Linked DNA regions of Macaca mulatta. The protein of the gene in region 2 purifies or fractionates together with the protein of the main gene of each other region. This does not show direct contact. Links are inferred from orthologs where the notes say so. Each region holds a gene or a part of one and is shown on either strand. Other genes may lie near its edges.

Region 1 (4,132 bases), on a different chromosome or scaffold from region 2:
ACAGGCGATCGTCTGGTCTCTGGGGCCTAGTTGGTTCCCCATTTCCGTAGCTTGCATCCCTTTCGAGAGCAAAGAGCTCTTGGGGGAAGGAAGGGAAGCTAAGGGGGGGCCCAATCCAAGATGGTGTCCTCGGCGCCATTGTGTTCGTTTTGCTCCCTTCTTCCAGTAGGTTCTTTTCATATTGGAGGCCTCAGCATCAATGAGAGGCGGCGCTAGGCGTCCCTTGGTCTTGGTATTTGCGGAGGGCGGGGCTCTTATCACCTTACTTGTCCTTTCTTGAGCCCTTTCTTGGCCCACGGTGGGACTGGGAGGAGGAGCCGGTTTTTGGGCCCAGTTGGATTTTTCTCACCTTGACTCGCCCAAGTTAATTTGGAGTGCCTTACAAGTGTTTACTATTGGTGTCATTGTATGTTTCTCCAAAAGGAGTCTCACCTTCGTAGCGCAACAGTGATGTCAGACCACTTGGTAAAGATCCTGTTAAAGCCTGGGCGGGGATTGCCTTTCTCTGTCAACTATTAACTTTGTTATTGTAGGGTGGAGACATGGATTTTTTTTGTTTTTGGTGGCCGAGCCATTTGTCTTGCACCGCCCCTCCCCCCCATGCTAATTACACAAGGCTTTCTTAAACAACGGAAGAGAGGATACTGAGAAGTGGGAGGCTGAGAGCTATGGGAGGTGGACGGCGGCCATATGATGTTTTCTTTTCGAAAGATGAGCGCTTTGCGCAGTGATGACCCTCATCTATCACCCTTGACTGATGGCTGCTGAGTTAGGCATCCATAACGGTGGGATTATAATAGGGAAAGCACAGTCTTCCTTTGAGGACTTTCCAGGACTCTGCTTGTCATCTCCATTTTCCACTTTACTAAGTTATTAATCATATTTTATCTTTTATTATCTATTATATTTCCTCACTTATTTTCAGATTAAGAATTTATAAGTTGGTCTTCCCCTTCCAACTTTTCTGGTTTCCGCTACTGTGATTGCTAATCTTGTTGGGAACCTGTGTCCTAACCACTTTCGCTGGTGCTGCTTTTTCTGTTCTGTTGTATTTGCTTTTCGTTTTTATGTTGTGTATCTGTTTTTTTTTCCATGTAAAAGTTTCCTAGTTTAGGGAAAGTGGGAACTGGGAATGGAAAAGAGGTGGTGAAGGCTCTGCTCGTGACTAAGTCTTGCTTTTTTTTTTTTCCCCCTCCCCAGCTCTTCTGTTAGAAATAGTATCTTTATTTTCCTTTGCTGTTCCTCAATCCCCTACTCTTCACCCCTTGTTTTCACCTGTTTTGCGAGAACCCATCCAGATTCCCCTTCCCGTCTTCCCCTGCCGGCCCAGTTATGGCAGAGAACGATGTGGACAATGAGCTCTTGGACTATGAAGATGATGAGGTGGAGACAGCAGCTGGGGGAGATGGGGCTGAGGCCCCTGCCAAGAAGGATGTCAAGGGCTCCTATGTCTCCATCCACAGCTCTGGCTTTCGTGACTTCCTGCTCAAGCCAGAGTTGCTCCGGGCCATTGTCGACTGTGGCTTTGAGCATCCGTCAGAAGGTAAATTTTCTCTTGGGCATGTAGTGCTCATTGGGCTCTTTAAGGGTACAATAAAAAGATGTGTTTGTTGTTGCTCAGGTGGTAAAAGTTTATACTTAAGGCTAGATCAGGGTCAGGTGCAGGGGCTCACGCCTGTAATCCCAGCGCTTTGGGAGGGCAAGGCAGGAGGGGTGGTCACTTGAGCTCGAGTGCAAGAGAAGCCTGGGCAAGATAGGGAGACTCCTGTCTCTACTAAACGAAGCAGGTGAAGGTTGAGGCTTCAGTGAGCCGTGATTGCACTACTGTACACCAGCCGGGGAGACAGTGAGGAAAAAAAAAATCAGGAGATAAGTATCGAAAACGATTTTGGATAGAGGAGGATTATACAGACTTGTTCTTTCTTTCATGATAGCACCAAAGTGCTAATTATCCAAAAGTAGCTTCTAGGTCTGCCATTCATTCTTGTGACTGACTTCTTTTGTCTGCTTATTTTTAATTTTGTCATTTGACTTGTAATTTTAAATTTCCAGAAAGGTCCTGATTGGACCTGTAGTCTCCCTCTGTTGGGCCAGGCCAACTGTGGCCTCTGGAAACCTCTATGACTGGTTTAGAGATGACTGGCTTCTGGGTCAGGTACCAAGTCCTTCATTTTGTCCCGGGTTGTTGTTATGTGACCCGAAGTATGGCAACCTAAGTAGGAGAAATGTCTTTAGCAGGTATTCAGATGTCATGAATTGTTACAGATTAAGAAAAATAAGGACAGAGCCAGGAGCATTGAAGGTGAGCGGTTGGTAGATGCAAGGGGGCTGTTAGTAGGACTGGGAAGGCCTAGATCTGGAGGAGGCCAAAGCTGGGATGAATTAGGAGAGTCTGATTTTGAGGTGAATATAATTGAGCAGAGAGAGGAAAAAGGGGTCTGGAAGTTGGCAAGAACCAGGTAAATACTAGATTTTGAGAATTGAGTGGTAAGAAATGGGCTTGGCATGATGAAAAAGGTTGTAGAGTTATCTGGAGACTGAAGTCTAATTTATCTTTCCTCCCTACTTTTAGTCCAGCATGAGTGCATCCCTCAGGCCATTCTGGGAATGGATGTCCTGTGCCAGGCCAAGTCGGGCATGGGAAAGACAGCAGTGTTTGTGTTGGCCACACTGCAACAGCTGGAGCCAGTTACTGGGCAGGTATATTTGGGGAGAGTGCTGGGGAAGGGGTTTTGGTTAGGACTATAAGGGAAGGGTGTTTTTGTCCTAGCTACATGATGACCTCGGTTACCCTTGACAACCTGACAGCTGTGGGGAATGTTCTATCCAAGCATGGGGTTCGTGATTTAGATCACAGAATTGAAGTCATTTATTATCGGCCCAGGTGTGTTTTTGTCAGTCACTTCCCTAGAGGGAACGATGAAGGGCTACACTCATGGTATGTCTCGGTCTACTTCCTGCCTAAGGTGTCTGTGCTGGTGATGTGTCACACTCGGGAGTTGGCTTTTCAGATCAGCAAGGAATATGAGCGCTTCTCTAAATACATGCCCAATGTCAAGGTAAGCCGAGGTAAAGAGACCTCAGAGTGAGGGTGTGGCAAGTTGGAGGGATAAGAAACTTGTAGGCCAGTAGTCTCTTTAATTTTGGAGAAGTTTTAGTTTGCCATGGTTTAACAGTGTTAAGATCCTATGTAACGGGAGGATTCGTAATTGGGCTATGGATGATGCTTAACCGAGACCACCCTTTTTTTACTACTTTATACTGACTTTGAATCCTATCAGTTTGGTAATTTTGGGGTGTGTGGCAGAGAAAGCCAGAAACTTTAAAACAGCTTCAGGGGTGTGTGAATATTGAGGATTCTGGCCAAGTGCGCAGCGGCTTACACCTGTAATCTCAGCACTTTGGGAGGCCAAGGCATGTGGATCATTTGAGGTCAGGAGTTCGAGACCAGTGTGGCCAATGCGATGAAACCCTGTCTCTACTAAAAATGCAAAAATTAGCCGGGCGTGGTGGCACACACCTGTAGTCCTACCTACTTGGGAGGCTGAGGCAGGAGAATCGCTTGAACCCAGGAAGCAGAGGTTATAGTGAGCTGAGATTGTGCCACTACACTCCAGCCTGGGTGACAGAGTGAGACTCCCATCTCAAAAAAAAAAAATCTGATTGAAGTTAAGCATTTTTGGCAATTATCCTTCATAGGTGATGCTGTATCTCCTGTTATGCCAGAAATCGGGTTGACTTATGTTAGTTATTTTTATTTTTATTTATTTGTTTTGAGATGGAGTCTTGCTGCGTCCCCTGGGCTGTGAGTGTAGTGGTGCGATCTCAGCTCACTGCAGCCTGCACCTCCCAGGTTCAAGCGATTCTCCTGCTTCAACCTGCTGAGTGGCTGGGACTACAGTGTGCCATCATACCCGGCTAATTTTTTTTTTTTTTTTTTGGTAGTGACAGGGTTTCGCCATGTTGGCCAGGCTGGTCTCGAACTCCTGACCTCAAGTGATCCACCCACCTCGGCCTCCCAAAGTGCTGGGATTACAGGTGTGAGCCACTGTGCCTGGCCTCATTAGTGACTTTAGGTTTACCATAGGATTAGCATCGTGACAGTCTGATTCCATGGTCATTCTTTTCCCCC
Region 2 (3,500 bases):
GTGGTATTAGGGGAGGCCAGATAGAAGGGTCCTGGGAAGAAGAGAGAGAAGGGAAGGGAGAGCATAAGGAGGAGCCCACAGGCCACACTGCATCCTTCAGCACAGCCAAGTAGGAAGTCCTTCACCCAACATGGCACTGCCCTCACACCCTCACACTTCCCCCGACTCTCAGATTCCTCATACAGCCTCTGTGATGGGTCAATGAGACAAGACTCCTGAAGTTATAAGCAGAGTCTGACAAGCAGTGCTTGGGAAATGCCAACTAACATCAGTACTTTGCTGTCTGGGTCTCAGTCTGCCTCTGAGAGATGGGGATAACAACCTTACTTCTCTCCCTGGGTGGTTGTGAGGTTTAGAGTTATTTGTGTACCCCCTCCCTATCCCTGCTTCCCTCTCAAGCCCTGCGTAAGTGAAGGGGGCACTGGGCTCCAAACCTTCTGGGGCAGCTGCTGCTGGGTGGCCTGCTGCTGCTGCTGCATGACCTTGGGGATGGCAGCTGACGGCTCCTGAGCCTTCCCCTCCTTGAACTCGCTGACCTTGTGGCGGTAATAGGCATGGTAAGGGTCATTGGGGTTCAGAAAGTTGAACTTGGGGTTGTTGATCTCATTCTGTCGGATCCTAGCTTCAAATTCAGGCCCATTTCTAGAGGGAGAAAAAACAGCAAGAATAAACACCACATCCCTTGTGCCTGCTGAGATCTAGGACACTGCCCATTGGAACGTCCTTTTTGCCACCACCCACTGCTCAAACCAGTCCAGCCCTCAGCACAGCAGATGTCCTCCTCCAGCCTCCTGGCATTGGCAATCAGTGCCATGTGCCTCATTCAGCTCGAACCAGGCCACTTCTACCACGGGGTCTCCCTGAACCCAGTCATTCCTTACCTCCTTTTCCAGTTCTGCCATTTCCAAAACCACCTAGGCTATCGCTCATTTATTTTAGGTGAATATGATGAAAACAAAGTAACACTGTCAAAGTTTAGCTGGAAGTTTGCTGAGACTAGTTCTCTTAGTTCAAAGGGGTAGCAAGTGCTGGAGAGGTGTAAAAGGTACGTGAACACCAAACCTAGACTTTGTCCTCTGAGTAACGAGAAAGACTGAAAGACATGAAAATTTAGTTGATTTGAGCCTGGGCAACAAGAAAAGACCCTAACTCTACAAACAATTTTAAAAATAAATTAGCTGGGCATGGTGGCTTGTGCCTCTAGTCCCAGCTACTCAGGAGGCTGAGGTGGGAGGATCACTTGTGCCCAGGAGTCTGACGCTGCAGTGAGCTAGAACCGTGTCAATGTACTCCAGCCTGGAAAACAGAGTGAGACCCTGTCTTTTGTTTTTGTCTTAAGAAACAAAAACAAAAACAAAACAAATTAGTTGGTTTAATGCCTTGTCCAAGTACTGCCTAAAACCACCCCAATTATACTGGTGAGGCCCACACAGGAAACATGCTCAGCAAGGACCCAGCCTCGTACAGCTGTATAAGGCACCTTCAGATGACAGGGGTGTGGTAAGATCAGCAGGGAGGTCTCCAACCACTGTCTGTACTTGGGATGGTTCCCCAGATATGCCCCATGTCCCCAGCAAGCCTTCAAAACCTCAGGATAATGAAAAAATGTCCCTGTAATGATATTTAGGGAACCCTGATTTTTAAAATGTCCCAACAGTAATACTTCAACACCTGTGTCAGTAAGAAAATACACGGACCTCAAAGACACAAGATATGAACACATTCAAGTTGCAGGTTCACTACTGACTCACTCTGACCCAGAGCAAGTTACCAAACTACTCTTTGATTCCATTTCCCCATGTGTAAAAAGCAGCTAACACCAGTTTCCCTTTCTACCTTAAAACATTATTGAGGAGATGCCAAAGTCTTCTTTTTGTTTCAGAGACAGGGTCTCACTCTGTCACCCAGGCTGGAGTGCAGTAGTACAATCTCAGCTCACTGCAACCTCCACCTCCTGGGCTCAAGGGATCCTCCCACCTCACCCTCCTGAGCAGCTGGAACTACAGGCATGCACCACCATGCCCGGCTAATCTGTTTTATATTTTGTAGAGATGGCGTTTCGCCATGTTGCTCGGGCTGGTCTCGAACTCCTGCGCTCAAGTGATACACCCGCCTTGGCCTCCCAAAGTGATAGGATTATAGGCGTGAGCCACTGAACCCAGCCCTTAAAGTCTTTTCAAATCATACAGTAGCCTGCAAATGCAAGGGGCTAGGAGGGGTTGTTCCATAAACATCGTCTGTGGGGCCTTCCATTGCTCCTCTGGTGAGAACCTTGTACTTAGAACTGCCCCAAACACACCAAGGCATGGCCCCAGCATCTATCTAGTGCCAGCCAGCCGGCTCCACTCTCTTCTGACTTTCACATCCCTGGCCTGTGAGTTTAAGAGGGGGTGGGAGCCTGGCACAGTGGCACACACTTGTAGTCCCAGCTACTCAGAAGGCTGAGGCGAGAGGATCACTTGAGTCCAGAAGATCATATCCAAGCCTGGACAACAAAATGAAATTTCATCTCTTAAAAAAAAAATTTTTTTTTTAATTTTAAGAGAGACGCAGTACTGTACCCCAGATCAAGCAGTACAGCAATATGTGCCACACTAGTGATCAACACCCAGCCTGGCTCCTCAGCAAGTCCTGGTCATACCCTGCCGTGTGACTAACATCATGAGGTCTCAATTTGACAGTACATTAGTCTAACTGGAACCTCATGCTTTGGAAAAAAAATTCTCCCTACTCCTTAAATAATGCAAACCACACATAAGAATGAAGGTGAATGCCCACTTAAACCCTGCTCAACTAGGCCACTATACCCGGCAAATGCCTCGGGCAGACAAAGGGCTCCTGGAAAAGGGGGACCTGGTTGTCTCCTGTACCACTAGCTAGGCCATAACTTTACCCCATCTGGGAACAATCTGAAAGATAAAACAATGAGAAGGCTTGGCATGTTCATTCCAAACTATTCTGTTGCTTTAAATTAGCTTAACGTTAATTTTAGAATCATACTCTCCACCAGAAGGAATAGATTTCAACAGAAAAAAACATGATTCTGACTCAACCCAGCTGCTGGGACTTTTTAAGGGTAATTTCCACTTCAGTTTCTTGCAGGAACATGCAGGAAACGAAAGGCCTAACCTAGTGAAAAAACTTTTGGAAAACTGCTCAGTTGTACATTTCTACTGCATGCTCCATAAATACACATGAACCTAGGAGAAGTGAACACAGAGTTCTGCATGTCTGCTTTAACTCGGATATTGGTCTCTTTGTTGCAATGTAAACCATAAGTTCACAGATTTTGTTTATTTACTTTTGAGGCGGAGTCTCATTCTGTCACCCAGGCTGGAGTGTAGTGGCACCATCTTGGCTCACTGTAACCTCTGCCTCCCGAGTTGAGGTAATTCTCCTGCCTCAGTCTTCCAAGTAGCTGAGACTACAGGCGCCCGCCACCACACCCAGCTAGTTTTTTGTATTTTTAGTAGAGACAAGGTTTCACTATGTTGGCCAGG
Region 3 (3,500 bases), on a different chromosome or scaffold from region 2:
CAGATTTGTAAGAGTGTAAATGTAAAACTCTTTCTTACTGGAATGTCCTTTACAGAAGGTTGAGATAGTCATCTGAGCCTTTTTAAAGTAAAAAACTGCAGGTGAAAAAGGAGTTAGTTGATTTGAAAGTTTTATGTGAAATTCTGGGTTGTGTAAATAAAAAGTTGCTAGGAATTGGCAAGGTAGTGAAGTGGTGACTCATGCAGGTAATGTAATTGTTAGATTTTTTAGCAAATCAGATAGGCATATGTCAATATAAACACAATGTTGAATTCAAACAATCTGTTGAATTAAATTCTGCTGATTACAGTAATTCTAATTTAAGAAAAATTCCAAACTGTAGATTTATTTTTCTCTGATCAGTAAAAAAAAAATTGAATTCCAGCTTGACTTTAGCTGTTGAAGTGAGAAGTCTGAGAAGGTGCATGTTAATGAGCCAGTGACCCATAGGTAGCTAGGTTAAAGACACTTTGGATTTGGATAATCCGGGAAGCAGTTAATCCCTAATTGTTGAACAGGCAGTCCTGGGTAAAGAGGACCTAAAATGCTGCACTATTAACAGCATTAGACGGCCAGGTTTGTACTTCATAGATTTAGGCTGTCTTCTTCACAAGTTTTAGAAGAAGAATTTAGGAGCTAGAGCCCTGGTGCAGGATCAACAGCAGCTCATACTCCTGTTTCAAAATAATTTGGTCGTGGCCTCCCTTCAGTTTTAATGTGGCACTGGTAAATCTACCTGGTTCTGGCATGCTTCACTTTGATTTCCTGCTATCCTCTACTGCTTGCCTCTAAATCAAGGTAAAGAGCAGAGCAGGTATGTATTAATGTCACATTGTCTTGATTATTTTAAATACTTAAAATATACATGTTAAACCTTGGTATTAGTTTCAGAGGCAGTTTACTTTTCAGTACATAATTTAAAAGGAGTGACTTGGTGGGAGTGGGGCTTTAAACTGAAAATTGGAACAACAGCATGATGTGGAGAAAAGTTGTGCAGCGTTAAGTACATGCAAAAATTAAATAACCAAGTTTTCTCTACATAGCATATATGTTTACATTGGATGTCAAAAGTAACACAGTATTTGATATAATTACAGATAATTGTGATCTACATTTTAAAATATCAAGAGATCGTCTCAGTGCTTCTTCCCTTACAATGGAAAGTTTTGCTTTTCTTTGGGCTGGAGGAAGAGCATCTTATGGTGTGTCAAAAGGCAAAGTGTGTTTTGAGATGAAGGTAAATGCAATTTTATGATGTTTTTGTTTGATTTTGGAGACAGAGTCTCACTCTGTCCCCTAGGCTGGATTGGTGTGGTGTGACCCAGGCTCAACTGCAACCTCCTCGTCCTGGGTTCAAGTGATTCTTCTTGCCTCAGCCTCACAAGTAGCTGGGACTATAGGCACGTGCCACCACACCTGGCTAATTTTTGTATTTTTAATAGAGAACGGGGCTCCTGACCTCAGGTGATCCACCCACCTCGGCCTCCCAAAGTGCTGGGATTACAGGCTTGAGCCACCGCGCCCAGCCTTTTTTTTTCTTTTCTTTTTTTCTTTTTAAAATAGTGACAGGGTCTCACCATGTTGCCCAGGCTGGTCTTGAACTCGTAAGCTCAAGTGATCTGCCTGCCTGGGCCTCCCAGAATACTGAAATTACAGGTGCTTCATACTGCTAAGTTATCAGAGGTACTTATTTTTTGAAGCTTCCTGTAAATTAAAAGAGGAACTTGGAACCTTCATTTTGTTGTGACAGTTAAGTTATGTTAGAACTTGACATGCAGAGCTAGGCAACTTTTTATTTAGGGTACTTCATTTTTATCAAGCATTTGAAAGGGCCACCAAAGAGTGAAAAATAAAATTTGGTTAGATTACAGGTTTTGTTGGCGAGAAAAACATTAAATGTATCCTTTAATTGGCTTTAAGTTGAAGACTGACAACATGAACTGTAAAAATATTAACTATTCTTTTAAATATGGGTCAAATAAGTATTTAACATTTCAAGTTATAAGCACATCAGTTTAAAGTTCTTACAAATATTAGGGATGGGCTAGAGTGTGCCATCTCTTTGTATTTATAGCTCGAGGAAGATTAGCTCATGACCCTATGAAATAAGCCAGAGTTAAGGGGTTACCTCCTTGGTTTATGATTTTAATTATTTAATGATTCGACTTTCAGGTTACAGAGAAGATCCCAGTAAGGCATTTATATACAAAAGATATTGACATACATGAAGTTCGTATTGGCTGGTCACTAACTACAAGTGGAATGTTACTTGGTAAAGATTCTTTTTGACTGATGTGGGCTCATGAATGTTTAGGAGGGTCTGATATCCTTATTTTTTAACCAGACTAGAAGGCATTCTAAGCCTTTTGTCTGTTTTTATCTATTCTGTTAATACTTCAGACAAGTAATATTAGCACATAGTAGGCACAGGCTACATTTTAGTTTTTGTTCCTTTATTAGAAGTTTATGGTTGAAATAAAATCTTACCCATGATATGCAAATTGTCAACTAATTTGGTCTCTGCATATATATATATCCCTCCTAACTTTCATCAATTCTAGTACAGAGGTAGAAAAGTAATAGTGTCAGTGACAGGTGATTAGGTTATATGCTCATTTCTCTTGTAGCCTACATTTTAAGTAGTGAAATAGATGAGTCTTTGGACTATTTTAAAAATCTACTTCACGAAGGTTAATTACTTTCTTAGGTGAAGAAGAATTTTCTTACGGGTATTCTCTAAAAGGAATAAAAACATGCAACTGTGAGACTGAAGATTATGGAGAAAAGTTTGATGAAAATGATGTGATTACATGTTTTGCTGTAAGTTAAAGCTAACTTTCTATGTATAAATGGCAAATTAGTAGCTATATCTAGGAACTTTTAAGAAGCTTTATTAAGGTCAATCTTCAATAGGAGCAACATAAATACACCAGTCCCTGGGTTAGTATAAATACTCATTCAGCAGTTGAATTGGGAAAATACAGGACATTTTTGAGGAACTCACTAATTTCATTTTGACTGAAAACAATGAAGATGAAATTGACCTAGAAAATTTAGTCTAACTTCTAGGTCACTATTGTTTCTGGTTCTGGAGATACGTGCTTCATTGTTTGTAACCATCAGATTTCTTAACTGTGTAGCCCTTAGAGGCCACTTAATAGTTGTTTAACCTGTAGCTCCCACAGGATAAGCTTTGCTCCTAATTTTAATTATTAGTTTTTTAGAAAGTTTATAGGAAGCAGATAACTTGAATTTTTTGCTGTTTAACAGAACTTTGAAAGTGATGAAGTAGAACTCTCCTATGCTAAGAATGGACAAGATCTTGGCATTGCTTTCAAAATCAGTAAGGAAGTTCTTGCTGGACGGCCACTCTTCCCGCATGTTCTCTGCCACAACTGTGCAGTTGAATTTAATTTTGGTCAGAAGGAAAAGCCATATTTTCCAATACCTGAAGAGTATACTTTTATCCAGAATGTCCCCTTAGAGGATCGAGTTAGAGG
Region 4 (4,007 bases), on a different chromosome or scaffold from region 2:
CTGCTGCAGATAGTCCACAGATCTTTTCTTGTGCATTTCTTCTGGGAACGAATGCAACTGAGGAAGCAGAGATATTCTAGGGGGAGAGATCTACAAAATTCCTTAGAGTCATCTTGCCCCACCTCCTTGTTACGGCTTTAGGTACAGCCCTTATGGCCGTGAGATTTAACCTTCCGCAGCCTTTGTGTCCACGTCTACAAAATAACAACTACCTTGCAGGGTGTTATTTAACACTGTGAAAGTGCATTAATAGGCACAGAAAGAAAAACAAAAAAACAAACATAAAAGCAAATTGTGCCCTCACTGCGAATTCTCTGTATTCTAGCTAAAAACATCTATAGCTTGAGTGCATGGGTGTCTGTGCTGGGCAAGAAAAGGGCAAACTAGATCATGACAAGCCTTAAGATTTTCTCACTTTAGTTTCCTCACTGCAATTTTTTTTTTTTCCCCAAGTCGGAGTCTTGTTCTGTCGCCTAGGCTGGAGTGCACTGGCGTGATCTCATCGCAATCTCTGCCTCCCAGGTTCAAGCGATTCTCCTGCCTCAGCCTACCGAGTAGCTCGGATTACAGGCGTGCGCCACCACGCCCGGCTCATTTTTGTATTTTTAGTAGAGACGGGGTTTCACTATGTTGGCCAGGCTGGTCTCGAACTCCTGACCTCGTGATCCGCCTGCCTCGATCTCCCAAAGTGTTGGGATTACAGGCGTGAACCACCGCGCGCGGTCCCTCACTGCAACTGAGAGTAGCGGGGTGGCCTCAAGTTCCAGATCTGGAGTTACTAAATAGCTGGGTTCCAATCCCGGCTCTGCCACTTATTAGTTGTACGATCTTCGTTTCTCAACCTCTCTGGGTCTGAGATTCCCTTAAAGCCGGGGTAATAGAGATGAATAGGATTTCCTAACTAGGACTAGACTTCCTCAATTTCTCGACTCAGAGGGGCAAGGATAGACTGAAATGGAAAGTGAAGGCCTTCAGGCTTTTCCTAACAGCCGCTCCTAGGAGGGGAAAGCTACGGGAAGAGGGAGGAGACCCAAGAAAGGTCGGACCAATGAGGCAGCGGGCGGGACAGGAGTTCCCGCCTTTGGGCGGCGTGCGCGCGCACCTCGCTCACACGCACACTCGCACGCACGCACGCTGCGGAAGCGCGCGCGCGCGCAGGCCCAGCCCTCGTCGCCGCCGCCATTTTAGCTCCTGGTTCCGGCCGCACCGTGTGGGCTGTAGTAGCGGGAGGGGTGGGGGTCCTCCAGAGTTAAGTGGCTGTCCTCCACTGTGCCCATACAGCGGCTAGCTTTCTTCCTTAATAACCGCCCGTTCGAAGAGTGCGAGGATGTCCAAGCGGCACCGGTTGGACCTAGGGGAGGATTACCCCTCTGGCAAGAAGCGTGCGGGGACCGATGGGTAAGCCAGGCCGGGGGCGCGAGGCAGCAGCTCGGGCTTTGTTGGGGTCCTGGCAGGGAGCGGGCTGGGACTGGCCTGGCCGAGCGGGTCCTGGAGCCCGAGCCTTTGTTTCCTTCTGGGCTGGGTTCACCAGCGGCGGGTCGGAGAAGCGCGGCGCCCGTCCGGCCCGGCAAGGGCGCGGGGAGTTGCGTGCGGCGGGGCCGGTGCCCAACCCAGTCCGGAGGGTGGAGAGGCCTGCAGTGGCCATGAGGGCGCCTCCTCCCCCAGGCCGAACCGAGCAGGAGTCACTTTCGAGGGCGTGGGGCGGGAGTGAACCGCGGACCTCGTGGCCTCGGTTCCCGAGGAAGGCCTGGATCCGGGGGAGAGAGTGGGGGAGGGCGCGGCGGGAGTATTCGCTTCCAAGGGCACCAGGCACTTCCCAGGCAGAGGGGCCATGGGGAGGGCCTGAGTGGGGGCGCGGCCAGGCACTCCAGACGGGAAAGGCGGAGGGCGGAAAGTGAGAGCAGCGCGTGGATCCTAATGTAGGCTGGGGTGGGGGTGGCGGGAGTTGAGAGAAGCCAGCAAATGGGGAGTTCTCTGGGGAAGTGGGAGTAGAGGACTTGCCGGGAGAAAGGAAGGGTGGAGTAAAATACCTGGTGGGCTGGAAGGCTGGTGTTTTGGGGCGACTGAGTTTATAGTTTGGCGGGAGAGAGCGTGTCTCGGTCCATTCAAGCACTTCAAAGTAGATACTAGCAAACTTCCGCCCTCTGCCTACGCTCCCGCCATCTCCTCTATTTCCTGCTTTGGTTAAAACTGGTTACCGAACATCATCCCATGGGGAGGGATTAGAAGGCATTCTTTTTTTTTTTTTTTCATCATTTATTTTCTGTGCATGTCCCACTTTTCTTCATAAGTAGCTTTTGAAATACAGGGATCATGTTCAAAACGTGTTTTTAGTATTTATGGCGAAACACCGCCCATGTGGAGGTTGAGAGTTGAAATACTTACACAAACTCATGGTGTTCCAGATTCCTTTCCTTAAAGATACAGAGGAATTTAACAGTTAACTTAAGCAGTTTTATGAAAATCTGTTTCTTTCCCGTGTGTGTTTTCATTGCTGAAGTACAAAGACCTATTTGGATAATTCAGGCAAAACCCACAAAAGCCCGAATATCCAAATACTTTGCATAATTTTATCATTTTATTGTGTACTTGTGATACGGAATCACTGTGTCAAGTCCCCTTGTCTAGCTTTTTTGAAATTTTCAGCTGAAGTTCTTCATTGAAATTGATTTCTAGGGATATGTTTAGTGTCATTGTAGAGTATAAGCCAGGATAGGATGTACTTTCTGAGACCTTCCCATATGTTGAATTATTCAATACAAAGCAAAAGCATGTCACAGTTTTGTGAGTTGTTTAGTTGGCGATATTAGGCATTGTAAAAAGACAATGACACTGTAAGACAGACTCTCTTTAGGCTATCACTGTCCCCCACCGTTACCCCCCACAAAACGGTAAATGCCTCTGAGCTGTATGTCACAGACTCTCAGAGCTGGGAGCAACTTAAAAAAGACTCTACAGCTCCACTCAAGGAATGAGAAATGGAGAACAGTTAAGGTGGCTTGGGCAAGTTTACAGCAGGATCTGGAACCCTGCCTTTATCATTTTCACTCAGCAGCACACAGTTCAGTACTGTAGTTAAGACTCATTACAGCCTATTTTAATGACATTTATAATGGGTTGGTAAAGTAGGGAACACTTAGTTCTTGATTTCTCTGAAGCAAAAATAAATTGCTGTCATCTGGAACTGATGTCTCTAACAGGAGGTCAGATTGGAACAAAATATTCTGGGAGGGAATGAATGAATTCATTTGTATTTGTGCATATGTGCACCATTTAAAATGCTTCCCTTGGGATTAGTGGTCCCACCATATGTATGTGCAATTGTTTACTATCTCTTGCAAAAACAGATACCCTTAGTAAACATGTCGACTTTCGGGGTCTAATGGTAGCTTTATGATTCCCTTGTATATTATTTAGAATTTGCCTGTGGATAAAGGCGAGTTCATCTTTGGAATAATGCTCAAGTTATAAGAAATTGTAGAGGGAAGTTTTAATACTAATTTCTATGTCATTTGAGTGCCATTTATCATAGAACTGGCTTTATTTAACAGTGGACTTACAGTGTTTATCAGCATCAGGATTTTTTTTCATACTCCATAATTTTAAGTCACTTGTTGACTGCCATGCAATCCTGCAGATTTTTTTTTTTTACCCTGATAGTCAGCAAGTGGTTTTATCTGAGAGCATAAGCTTGTCAGTCTTACAAACTCCACTGCCAGATAGGATGTCTCCAATACTGAGAAGAGAAGGTAATTCAGTGGGAGATTTCACTTACATTAATGTTCCCAACTATATAAGTCTTTATTTTATTCTTGACATATTTTAACTTTGAAATCAGGTGAAGTTATTATAGGTTTCTGTTGCGTATTCTGGCCTCATTTCTTCTTTTTGTCAACCCACAGAGCCTTCACTATACAGTTATTACCAAGAGACAACTTACTGTTGAAGTATGGAAAAAAGTTTTCCATGTTAGGGACGTTTTTCATTTTGATGTTGGTTTTTGATAT
Region 5 (3,500 bases), on a different chromosome or scaffold from region 2:
GTGCTGGGATTACAGGCATGAGCCACTGCACCCAGCCAGTCTTTTCCTTTACAGAAAAATTAGCTTGTCCTAATCCCAGGCAGAAATGCTAAAGTAATAGACTTCCTTCAAAGAAGGGGAGTAAAGAACATGAAAATTCTTTAGTATCATGGGATGGTAAGACTGGGGTGCTCTTTAAAGACTCTTGAAGAAATGCCCATTATTTTAAATTTACTTAATTTGTAAGCTGAAAACATCATTGGTATCTTTTATTAGTTCTACGGAGTATTCTTTCTTATATAAGTTCTTCAAAAAATTATAACAATTTTGGGGGACACAACACAAATCAGACTTAACATATTACAGTCTTCAGAATTATTTTATGTGAGTAGGTTTTAAAGAAATTAGTTTGTGAGCAAAAACTACAATGGCATTTGAAATTGTATCTAAATATTTATAAGTTAAAACAATTTATGTTCAGACAGAGGGATAAATTGGAAGAAATCTTGCGGGGATTAACTCCAAGGAAAAATGATATTGGAGATGCAATGGTTTTCTGTCTTAATAATGCTGAAGCTGCTGAAGAAATAGTGGATTGCATTACTGAGTCATTGTCCATCTTAAAGACACCCCTTCCTAAAAAGGTATGGGAATGAATTTTAAGAAAAGGGGAGATAGTTAATGTCTTTTGGGATTAGAAGTGGTTTCCTTTTTGCACAAATAACTTGACTGATGAAATTTTTCCCATGCAGTCTTATGTTACTTCTGCTTGGAAATTTAGGTTCATTAACATACAAGTTGCAAACAAATTGAAATGTAAATGAGTTAACAAATTTCATCCCTGCCAAAGTCATGGTTGTGGTGATAGTTATTTAACTCTTCTAATTAGTAGCCATTATTAAATTATAGCTAAACATTAGCCTTACATTAACCTATTTTGTGTTATCTTTTGGTATTATAGATTGCCAGATTATATTTGGTTTCTGATGTTTTGTACAACTCTTCAGCCAAAGTTGCTAATGCTTCATATTATAGAAAATTGTAAGTATAATGATATAACTGATATTCCTGAAATAAAGTGTTTAAGGGTAAGGAGTTCAGAAAAGAGGATTGTTTTGTTAACGTCCTCCAAGAATAAGAAATACAGCCAGCCCTCCATGTCTGTGGGTTCCTTATCCGTGAATTCAACCAACCACAAATTGAAAATATTTGAGAAGAAAAGTTGTATCTGTACCGAACACGTACAGACGTTTTTCCTTGTCGTTTTCTAAACAATACAGTAATGAAAACTCTGCATAGCGTTTACATTGTATTAGGTATTGTAAGTAACCTAGAGATGATTTAACCCATGGGAAGATGTGGGTAGGTTACAGGTGAATACTATGTTATTTTCAATCAAGAACTTGAGCATCTGTGGATTTTGGTGTCCATGGAAGGTCTTGGAACCAGTCCCCCTATGGATACTGAGGGAAGACTAATTTGAATTTCTTCATGGTTTGTAGAATTTTTTTAAAAAATTGGCTTAAACTTAAGCTAAATTACCAATTTTTTTGGAAAGATTTTATATCGTATCACTTTCTTAGTTATTGACAGTAGAACAAATAGGTGTGTGTTAAAGAGAACTTTATTGCGTATCTAGCTATTCATATAATAAATAGAAACAGTGTATATACTGGCAGACATAAGAAACCAAAGACATACTATTAACTATAGAATCTGCATTCTCTTCTGATCCTTAGCATATTGATTTTAGTTCATTGCTAATGTTTCCTAAGGCAAAAGGAAGTTATGTTGCTGTATTATAATTAATGTATAACTTAGCCGGGCACAGTGGCTCATGCCTGTAATCTCAGCACTTTGGGAGGCTGAGAAGGGCTGATTACCTAAGGTCAGAAGTTCAAGACCACCCTGACCAATGTGGTGAAACCCCATCTCTAGTAAAAATACAAAGATTAGCCAGGTGTGGTGGTATAGCCCTGTAATCCCAGCTACTCAGGAAGCTGAGGCAGGAGAATTGCTTGAACCCGGGAGGCGGAGGTTGCAGTGAGCTGAGATTGCGCCATTGCACTGTAGCCTGGGTGACAAGAGCCAAACTCCGTCTCAAAAAAAAAAAAGTGTAACTTTTTCTCAGTTCCCCAGAGCTCTCTTTCTGTGTTTATTTTTTGAATTAGGCAAAGGGAAGCTTTTCCCTAGGAAGTTGCTCTGAAAAGAAATTTAGAGATCTGAGTCCTACTCTTATGTCTGCTATTAGTTTTTTTGCCTTGGATGCGTCACCCTTTTCTAAGTTTTCTGTTTTATAAAATAAAGAAATTGGATGAGATGGTTCAACATATCCTAGATGTAATGTTTCTTGCTTATAAAGGGAGATAGTAGGGACTGTTGGGGAGTTTGTAGGAGAAAAATTCAGAGTAATAAGAGTTAAAGCAATTCAGTTACGGTTTTAGAGTTTAAACACCTAGTTTTTGATTTTTAATAATTTCTTGATTAATTTGTAGGTATTTTAAGTTCAGGAGGGGTTTTCATTGGCTGGCATGCTGAAGGGGAAAGGAATTTTAAACATTTTATTTTAAAGAATGTATTATTTGAATTTCAGTTTTGAAACAAAGTTATGTCAGATATTTTCAGACCTCAATGCCACCTATCGTACAATTCAAGGCCATTTACAATCTGAAAACTTTAAGGTACGTTTATTGTTTTACTATTTTTGCCCTAGTGTTTTAAATGGGTGGGGGGAGAGGGCCTTGAAGGGCTAGAAAAGTACATAAGACAAGTATGACACATAAAATTAAAACTTAGATGTTACCGAAGTTAGTGTTTTAAAATTCTGTCATTTTTTTAATCAAAATCAAAAATTTAAAAGATACTGTTTTGACAGGTGTTTAATTTTAGTTTTAAGTATTGTTTAAATATTATAAATGTTAGTCTTTTTTCATGAAACAGCCAGAAGAATCACTTGTTTTGTAATGGTATATACTATTTGGCTGGATTAAAGACATACATTTTAATCATATTTAGAAAGTCTGCTCTGTTACCAATTTTTTTATAACCTCTTAAGATGTAGGCCAGTGTTAAGAAAAGCCAGGTGGAGTACTTTATTTATAATTGACTAAGTAAATATGCTTTCATGGGAAGATGACTTTTTTACGAAAAATTTTTAGTTTGGGAAGATGCCCAGTGACCCCACCATTTAGGGCATTCAGACAACTCCCATTTTTAAAGTTTTTGACCTTAAATTTTGACCATAAGTTAGAATTTTAAAAAAAGTTTAGGGAAGATACAGAGTAAAGTGTTAACCAGAATTAGGAAGTACTTTACTGGACCATAAGGGGATTCAGGTCAAAACTTGGCTACTTTGGTTTTAAGTTTTCATAAGTTTCTATGTAAGTCTTTCCTGAATGTGGCTCATGTGTAGTACTAATGGTATGGGAGCTGACCTTAGGTGGTAAAGAGCAAACAACTACTGTTTATTTTTCATTATATTTATTTTTAGGGTTTTTTTTCTTTTAATTAGAAGGTGACAT
Region 6 (4,125 bases), on a different chromosome or scaffold from region 2:
AGGACCGATTGGGATTGTGCGCACTGGGCTTTTTTTTTTTTTTTTTTTTTTTTTTTGAGACGGAGTCTCGCTCTGCTGCCCAGGCTGGAGTGCAGTGGCGTGATCTCGGCTCACTGCAAGCTCCGCCTCCCGGGTTCACACCATTCTCCTGCCTCAGCCTCCTGAGTACCTGGGACTACAGGCGCGCGCCACCACACCCAGCTAATTTTTGTATTTTTAGTAGAGACGGGGTTTTACCATATTGGCCAGGATGGTCTCGATCTCTTGACCTTGTGATTCGCCTGCCTCGGCCTCCCAAAGTGCTAGGATTACAGGCGTGAGCCACCGCGCCCGGCCTGCACTGGGGTTTTAAGTCCCAGTAGTTTTTTTTAGGGCTCCTCTCCTCAAGAAAAAAACTCATACACACAGATGTGCCACATTTTGCATTCAATTTCAGGGGTTCCAAGGATACACTGACGCTCATGTGGCGCTCCTTCAGTCTTAACAGTTCACGGGGCGCGGGTTTAAAAAATCCAATCCAGGGCTGGGCGCAGGGGCGCATGCCTGTAATCTCAGCATTTCGGGAGGCCAAGGCGGGTGGATAGCCTGGCTTCAGGAGTTCGAGACACCCCCCGCCCATCTACAAAAAAATACAAAAATTAAAGGGGCGTGGTAGCGTTCATTCGTAGTAGTCCCAGCTAGTGGGAAGGCTGAGGGGGTAGGATCACTTGAGCGCGGGAGGTCGAGGCTGCAGTGCGCCGTGATCGCGCCACTGCACTCCAGCCTGAGCAACAGAGTGAGATCCTATCTCAAGGGAAAAAAACAAAACAAAAAAACCAGGGAACGTGGGAAGGAAGCGTTCCCTAACGATACTAGTTATAGCGGGTCGGAAACTGGGCTATGGAATTTGAGATAACGGGAAAACAACACCCGTTGAAGCCACGACCCTAGGAGTCCACTAAGCGAGCGCCCATTGTAGGAGGGAGGTGTCTACGGAAAGGCCGTGAGGTAGTGAACACCCCGTTGTCGGTGAAGTGCAAGCGCAGGGATGCCGGGGAGGAACTTCCAGCCACGAAGACACTGGCTTAATGCCCTCTAAGTCCTTCCAGTTCTGGGATCCCATCTCCGGGTTAATTCCGCTTCCCTTGAGTAGCGAATGCACAACGGGACCACTGGCTCAAAGAACCCACCCGACCCGCGACGGCGCGAATGTGCAGTGGAGCAGTGATCCCGGTCTTCCCATGAGCCTCTGGGGCCGGCTCCAGGGCGAGCGACGGAAGCAGCCGCTCTTAGTTTCCGGCAACACGACAGCGGCTGCCGAGCGACCCGGAAGTATTCCCATTTTGCGTTGTCTGGGCTCGGCGGTAGCCGGGCTTGGAGTGGACGTGCCACTATGGGGTCGTCCAAGAAGCACCGCGGAGAGAAGGAGGCGACCGGGACGACGGCGGCGGCCGGCACCGGGGGCGCCACCGAGCAGCCGCCGCGGCACCGGGAACACAAAAAACACAAGCACCGGAGTGGCGGCAGTGGCGGTAGCGGTGGCGAACGACGGAAGCGGAGCCGGGAACGTGGGGGCGAGCGCGGGAGCGGGCGGCGCGGGGCCGAAGCTGAGGCCCGGAGCAGCACGCACGGGCGGGAGCGCAGCCAGGCAGAGCCCTCGGAGCGGCGTGTGAAGCGGGAGAAACGCGATGACGGCTATGAGGCCGGTGAGGAGGCGGGGCCTGCGCAGGGGGCGGGTCGGGCAGGGGTCCCAGAACGTGCGGGTCTGGGTGTGCGCACAGTGTCAGCAAAGCTCTCCGGATCGGGAAACCCCCAGACTGTCTATATCAACTCTTATTAAATAGTCTTTCTACGGGATCCCATGAGCCCAGGAGTTAGAGGCTGCAGTGTGCTGCGATCCCGCCAGTGCACTGCAGCCTGGGCAACAAAGCGAGACTCTGTCTCAAAAAAGCTTTTCTACGATTGTTTGGGATTAGAGGTAGACTGTCTCCACCTGGCTCCTTGAGGATAGAGAGCTTCCGTTTTTCTCAGTTGTCTGGTACAGTCACAGATTCTCAATAAATGTGTTGAATGAATGAATGAAGTAGTGTCAGCATATGCAGAGACAAGAAAAACCTGGTATTTGACGAATCGTATTGGACGAATCGTGTAGGGCTCCTGGTAGAGAAATGAAGGAGTAAGATAGGCAGGGATGTGAACGCAAAGGATCCTGTACTGTAGGCTCTGTTAAGAAATGTAGATTGTCTTGACAAGGTAGTAGGGAGCCTTGGCTGTGAGTTGAGGAGTGAGTTGCTCAGATCCGTATTTTGTAAACATTACTGGATTGAGAACTTAGTCAAAGGTAGTCAGGATTGGAGACCAGGAAATCAGGAGGGCTACAGACCAGGTGAGGGCTGATGGTGGCCTGCACCAAGGCAGCAGCAGTGGAGTGGAGAGAAGTGGACAGGTTGGAGAGGTGTTTTAGAGGAGGAATGAACAGAACTCAGTACTTGTATGAGGGTGGGAAGGAGAAGGAATTGAGGATGACTCCTTGAATTTTGGCTTGAGCAGCCAGATAGGTAGTGGGTGTCATTTCTACTGAAATTGAGGAGTAGGGAAGAGAAGGAGATTTGGAGCAGGGTGGGGGAAGATAATTCACTTTTGGGGTTGTCAAGGTTTATGTGCATAGGGAAATCCAGAGTTTGGACTGGATAAAGCCATTGGGAGTCAGTATCTGGGTGGCCAGTGAAGCCCGCGAAAGAATGCGACATGAGAAGCCGGGGTCAGGAATAGAACCTGAGAAATGCCCTTATGTTAGTAGTAGGCAGAGAAAGATGTTACCAAAAAAAGGAGATAGAGTAACCAAAGAGGCAGGAAAACCTTTGTGTCATGGGAACTTTGGAAATAGAGTATTGTTAGAAGGAGGGAGTGATCAGCAGTCCCATATACCACAGGAGATCAAGGAAAACCAGAACTGAAAAGAACCCGTTAGATTAGAAATGAAGGAGACTGGTGACTTTGGGGAGCCTGGAGAGATTGGGATCCAGGGCCCAGGTGGAGAGTGGAGCCTTTAAGATACAGGATGGGAATGCAGGAAAGGAAGAGGTGTTTTTTTTTTTTTTTTGAGACAAAGTCTTGCTCCATCTCTTTAAGAGACCTTGTCTCTTAAAAAAAAAAAATGAAAGAAAAAAGGAGAGGGCAGAATGGTGACTGTAGCAGTTTGGATCTCTTGGGTCAGGATAGGAAGGTGCGCAGAAGAGGCAGGGCTCTGAGACTGGACTCGGGCAGAGGAGCTGCTGGGGAGCTTGGGTGGAAGAAGCTGCTGTTTTCTGGTGTTTCATCAGGCCCAGGTGCTGGTGAGGGGCCCTCATCTTTGATCCTGCAGTTGGAGGCACTGATGCTGGCTTGTTGGCCCTATGTTCAGCTCCTGAGCCATGCTTCTTCTTCTTCCAGCTGCCAGCTCCAAAACTAGCTCAGGCGATGCCTCCTCACTCAGCATTGAGGAGACCAAGTGAGTACTGTCTCCCTTGTTTCCACTTTGTTTTTCTAAGATAGGTGGCTCTGGGGCCAGCCCTGGGGAGGCTTTCTCACATGAAAGTGTGCTAATTGGAGTTGGAAAGGTTGTATAGATCATTTTAGCCAACAGTAGAGTTATAGAAGAGGAAACTAATACCTAAGAGTAAAGTGGCATTCACCGGTTAGATGCAGACCAGGCTGGCGCCCATGTTTCCTGCTTTGGAGGCCAGGGCCCTTCCCAGTGTCCTAGGCTTCCTGGGGCAGACCGTGTGTTTGGGACCGCTCACTCCCACCCTGTTTCTTCTCCTGTCTGTTTGGAAATGCACATGGCACCCTGTGTCTTTGATAGCCCGTAACACTTGTATCCTTTGATAGCCCCTAACACTTGTATCTCTTGTTCTCAGTAAACTCCGGGCAAAGTTGGGGCTGAAACCCTTGGAGGTCAATGCCATCAAGAAGGGTGAGCATGGGGCTGAGGATGGGGTTTGGGGGAGAGGGCCATCTGAAGGGGTCTTTGAAGAAGGTGGGATTAGAGGGCAGGTTCAGCACGGTTTAGTGGTCTTACACATGCATATTTGCCGGAAGGCACGAGGTCCCTTCTTGCTGTTCTAATGTGGACCTGGGGCTCTGCTTGTTTTCTGAGTTAGAGCC
Region 7 (3,500 bases), on a different chromosome or scaffold from region 2:
CAGATGTTTATTGAACATTTGAAGTGTACTAGTGTGCTATTCAGGTGTTGGGGATATGGTAGTGAACAAAAGAGGAAAAAAAATCCTGTTTTCATAGAGTGAAGAGGGAAGATGTCTAGAAGGAATGACTTTCTATGTTAATGAAATTCTTTCCAACCTTGTTTTGGCCATAGGAATAAAGATGATATATAGCATACCAGAGATTCATTCCAACTAGCATTCCAACTCTGACAGTGACACCAAGAATGTTTTCCTGGGACTGCCTGGTGCTTGTTCTCCCTGGCATTGTCTTCAGGTCAGGGATTTTTCTTTTTTCTTTCTTTCTTTTTTTTAAAATTAAAAATAGAGACGGGGTTTCGCCGTGTTGCCCAGGCTTGTCTCAAACTCCTGAGCTCAAGCAATCCACCCACCTCAGCCTCCCACAATGCTGGGATTACAGGTGACAGCTACTGCACCTGGCCAAGTCAGGGATTTTTCCTAACACTATTAGAATTAGGTGGTGGAGTTATTTGTTCCTTCCCATCAACAGTTTTAAATGCTGCTCATAGTTTATGTCTTACTGTGATTGTATTTTTCCTTTTTTTGCTCTTTAAATTTTTTTTCTTTTTTTTTCCCCCACAGAGAAATCTCTTTTTTTTTTTTTTTTTTTTTGAGATGGAGTCTCGTGGTGTCGCCCAGGCTGCTGGAGTCCAGTGGTGTGATCTTGGCTCCTTGTAACCCCTATCCCTGGGGTTCAAGCGATTCTCCTGCCTCAGCCTCCTGAGTATCTGGGACTACAGGCCATGCCACCACGCCCGGCTAATATTTTGTAGTTTTAGTAGAGATGGGGTTTCACCATGTTGGCCAGGATGGACTCCATCTCCTGACCTCGTGATCTGCCCACCCTGGCCTCCCAAAGTGCTGGGATTACAGACATGTGCCACTGTGCCCAGCCTATTTTTTTTTTTTTTCCTTAAAATTAAAAGCTATAAATGAAGTATAACCACACACAAGCACATCTTCTGTCATTAAAGTGGAAGTTCTTTAAAGGCTGTGACTTATTTATCTTTGAATCCTCTTGATGCATGCTGTGGGGTCAAACTGTTGGGGTTAAAATTCTGGCTTACAAGTTGGATAATTGGGAACAAGTCAGTTATCTTCTCTAAGCCTCAGTATTCTTATCTGTGAAATAGGTACAATAGCAGTATCTACCACATAGGGTTGTTGAGATTAATAAATACATGTAAGGTTTTTATATTAAAATTCAACAAATGGTAGTTGTAATTTCTCAAAGCGTTTATCAAAATGTCTTGCACATGGTAAACACACAAATGTTTGTTGAACATATCAGTGAACGTTGTGTTAAGATAAACAATTCAGTTTGTTATTGAATTCTATTAATGAAGTTTTTAATCCTCATAATTTTAGGTGAAACAAATAGAGAAAAGAGACTCGGTTCTAACATCGAAAAATCAGATTGAAAGACTGACCCGTCCTGGTTCCTCTTACTTCAATTTGAACCCATTTGAGGTAAGCTGATTGGTGTTGCTAGGACCTCTGTAATGGAGGGTGTTTGCATAGCTGCAGGCATACCTACATCGGAATACATACCTAATTTATATCATCGTTAGGATTGTGAAAAATGGTGGAGTAAAGTGATGGAATTTGTATAGTACAAATTGAGTATTCCTTATCCAAAATGCTTAGGACCAGAAGTTTTTTGGATTTTGGATTTTTTTTGGGATTTTGGAATATATACATCCATTCTACTCACTTGCTGGTTGAAGCATCCCGAATTAGAAAATTCAGGATGTTAATGAGCATTTTCTTTGAGCATCAATTGACTCTCAAAAAATTTCAGATTTTGGAGCATTTTGGATTTTGCATTTTGCCTTTAGAGGTACGTAACTGTATATAGATTGTCTTTAAACTTGGTTGGTTTTACTGAGCAGAACTGGAGAGGCAGCATGTTAAGAAAAGTGAGATGGGCACATACCTTTCATCATCTTTTAGCAACCCAAATATATAAGGATTTAATTTCAGATGTGAAGGGGCGGCTAACTCTGATAAATTTAGGATTCTTTTTTTTTCTCTTTTTTTTTGAGACGGAGTCGTGCTCTGTCCCCCACGCTGGAGTGCAGTGGCGCGATCTTGACTCACTGCAACCTCCTCCTCCCGGGTTCAAGCAATTCTCCTGCCTCAGCCTCCCAAGTAGGTGGGATTACAGGTGCCTCCCACTGCGCCTGGCTAATATTTGTATTTTTAGTAGAGATGGGGTTTCACCATGTTGGCCAGGCTGGTCTCGAACTCCTGACCTTGTGATCCGCCTGCCTCAGCCTCCCAAAGTGCTGGGATTACAGGCATGAGACACCGCTCCTAGCCTAGGATTCTTGATTTAAACTACTTGTTAAAACTTTTCTGTTTCACTATAGTAAATACCAAAAACCCAACAACAACAAAACAAAGATCACAGGATTTTAGATAAGTGAATATACTTTTTGATTTTCTTAATTTTATAACTTTAAACTTTTCCTGGTTATAAAAGTAAATCATATTTCTTGTAAATGTACAGAAAGCAAGAATAATCATGTATAATCCCACCTAAGAGAGATAGCCACTCATGTTTACACTCAAACTGTTTTGCTTAAAAACAGGGAGCATCATACACTTAGTCCTTTTTTTTTTTTTTTTTTTTAAAGAGATGGAGCCTCATTATGTTGCCCAGGCTGGATTAGAACTCGTGGGCTTAAGTGATCTTGACCTGCTTAGCCTTTGGAGTAGATGGGACTACAGGCTTATGGCACCACGCCTGGCTCAGCTCAATACGGTTTTATTTTGTTTTGTTGTATTTTTTTGAGACAGGGTCTCATTGTCACCCAGGCTGGAGTGCAGTGGTGCAATCATGGCTCACTGCACCCTTGAACTCCTGGGCTCACATGATTTGCCCACCTTGGGCTCCCAAAGTGCTGGGATTACAGCCATTCGCCACCATGTGCAGCCTCAGGGCTGTTTTAAATGCTTTTTTTTTTGAGATGAAGCCTCACTCTGTCACCTAGGCTAGAGTATAATGATACGATCTTGGCTTACTGCAACTCCACCTCCCAGATTCAAGTGATTCTCCTGCCTCAGCCTCCCGAGTAGCTGGGATGACAGGTGCCTGCCATCATGCCCGACTAATTTTTATATTTTTAGTAGAGACGGGGTTTCGCCATATTGTCCAGGTTGGTCTCGAACTCCTGAGCTCAGGTGATTCACCTGTCGCGGCCTCCCAAAGTGCTAGGATTATAGATGTGAGCCGCTGCCTGGCCAAAAAAAAAAAGAAAAATTAATTTTTCTTTTTATTTTTTGCAATTCTTGACAAAATATTAACATCTTTAATCATAAATGAACTCTTCAGAAATCAGTACAAAGAGACTAACATTACACGGGAAGTGAAAATAAAAGGAACAGAGGAAAATGGAATAGCACAAATGAGTTATAAGGCTATATGAAGATGACATATAGTTAATACTAATAGTTGA

What was found.
Region 1: the proteins of SF3A1 (region 2) and DDX39B purify together in Homo sapiens (affinity purification with mass spectrometry; 3 studies listed by BioGRID and IntAct, with this or other methods). This does not show direct contact. The link is inferred for Macaca mulatta from reciprocal best matches to the Homo sapiens genes SF3A1 and DDX39B.
Region 3: the proteins of SF3A1 (region 2) and HNRNPU purify together in Homo sapiens (affinity purification with mass spectrometry; 3 studies listed by BioGRID and IntAct, with this or other methods). This does not show direct contact. The link is inferred for Macaca mulatta from reciprocal best matches to the Homo sapiens genes SF3A1 and HNRNPU.
Region 4: the proteins of SF3A1 (region 2) and DHX15 purify together in Homo sapiens (co-immunoprecipitation; 5 studies listed by BioGRID and IntAct, with this or other methods). This does not show direct contact. The link is inferred for Macaca mulatta from reciprocal best matches to the Homo sapiens genes SF3A1 and DHX15.
Region 5: the proteins of SF3A1 (region 2) and U2SURP purify together in Homo sapiens (affinity purification with mass spectrometry; 4 studies listed by BioGRID and IntAct, with this or other methods). This does not show direct contact. The link is inferred for Macaca mulatta from reciprocal best matches to the Homo sapiens genes SF3A1 and U2SURP.
Region 6: the proteins of SF3A1 (region 2) and SART1 fractionate together in Homo sapiens (co-fractionation; 3 studies listed by BioGRID and IntAct, with this or other methods). This does not show direct contact. The link is inferred for Macaca mulatta from reciprocal best matches to the Homo sapiens genes SF3A1 and SART1.
Region 7: the proteins of SF3A1 (region 2) and DNAJC8 purify together in Homo sapiens (affinity purification with mass spectrometry; 4 studies listed by BioGRID and IntAct, with this or other methods). This does not show direct contact. The link is inferred for Macaca mulatta from reciprocal best matches to the Homo sapiens genes SF3A1 and DNAJC8.

What each region holds. Positions count from the first base shown.
Region 1 is NC_133409.1:150,789,234-150,793,365, forward strand, and holds the start of DDX39B (spliceosome RNA helicase DDX39B), read left to right. Parts: upstream 1-1,332; coding exon 1,333-1,543; intron 1,544-2,572; coding exon 2,573-2,700; intron 2,701-2,966; coding exon 2,967-3,059; intron 3,060-4,132. UniProt on the Homo sapiens protein: Involved in nuclear export of spliced and unspliced mRNA. Component of the TREX complex which is thought to couple mRNA transcription, processing and nuclear export, and specifically associates with spliced mRNA and not with unspliced pre-mRNA.
Region 2 is NC_133415.1:21,195,996-21,199,495, reverse strand, and holds part of SF3A1 (splicing factor 3A subunit 1), read right to left. Parts: intron 643-3,500; coding exon 435-642; intron 1-434. UniProt on the Homo sapiens protein: Component of the 17S U2 SnRNP complex of the spliceosome, a large ribonucleoprotein complex that removes introns from transcribed pre-mRNAs.
Region 3 is NC_133406.1:4,250,634-4,254,133, forward strand, and holds part of HNRNPU (heterogeneous nuclear ribonucleoprotein U), read left to right. Parts: intron 1-1,097; coding exon 1,098-1,237; intron 1,238-2,172; coding exon 2,173-2,272; intron 2,273-2,707; coding exon 2,708-2,820; intron 2,821-3,270; coding exon 3,271-3,500. UniProt on the Homo sapiens protein: DNA- and RNA-binding protein involved in several cellular processes such as nuclear chromatin organization, telomere-length regulation, transcription, mRNA alternative splicing and stability, Xist-mediated transcriptional silencing and mitotic cell progression.
Region 4 is NC_133410.1:23,602,818-23,606,824, reverse strand, and holds the start of DHX15 (ATP-dependent RNA helicase DHX15), read left to right. Parts: upstream 1-1,207; 5' UTR 1,208-1,327; coding exon 1,328-1,398; intron 1,399-4,007.
Region 5 is NC_133407.1:46,009,389-46,012,888, forward strand, and holds part of U2SURP (U2 snRNP-associated SURP motif-containing protein), read left to right. Parts: intron 1-460; coding exon 461-623; intron 624-940; coding exon 941-1,020; intron 1,021-2,572; coding exon 2,573-2,660; intron 2,661-3,500.
Region 6 is NC_133419.1:8,455,685-8,459,809, reverse strand, and holds the start of SART1 (U4/U6.U5 tri-snRNP-associated protein 1), read left to right. Parts: upstream 1-1,325; 5' UTR 1,326-1,372; coding exon 1,373-1,685; intron 1,686-3,411; coding exon 3,412-3,469; intron 3,470-3,878; coding exon 3,879-3,934; intron 3,935-4,125. UniProt on the Homo sapiens protein: Plays a role in mRNA splicing as a component of the U4/U6-U5 tri-snRNP, one of the building blocks of the spliceosome. May also bind to DNA.
Region 7 is NC_133406.1:212,713,617-212,717,116, forward strand, and holds part of DNAJC8 (dnaJ homolog subfamily C member 8), read left to right. Parts: intron 1-1,407; coding exon 1,408-1,509; intron 1,510-3,500. UniProt on the Homo sapiens protein: Suppresses polyglutamine (polyQ) aggregation of ATXN3 in neuronal cells.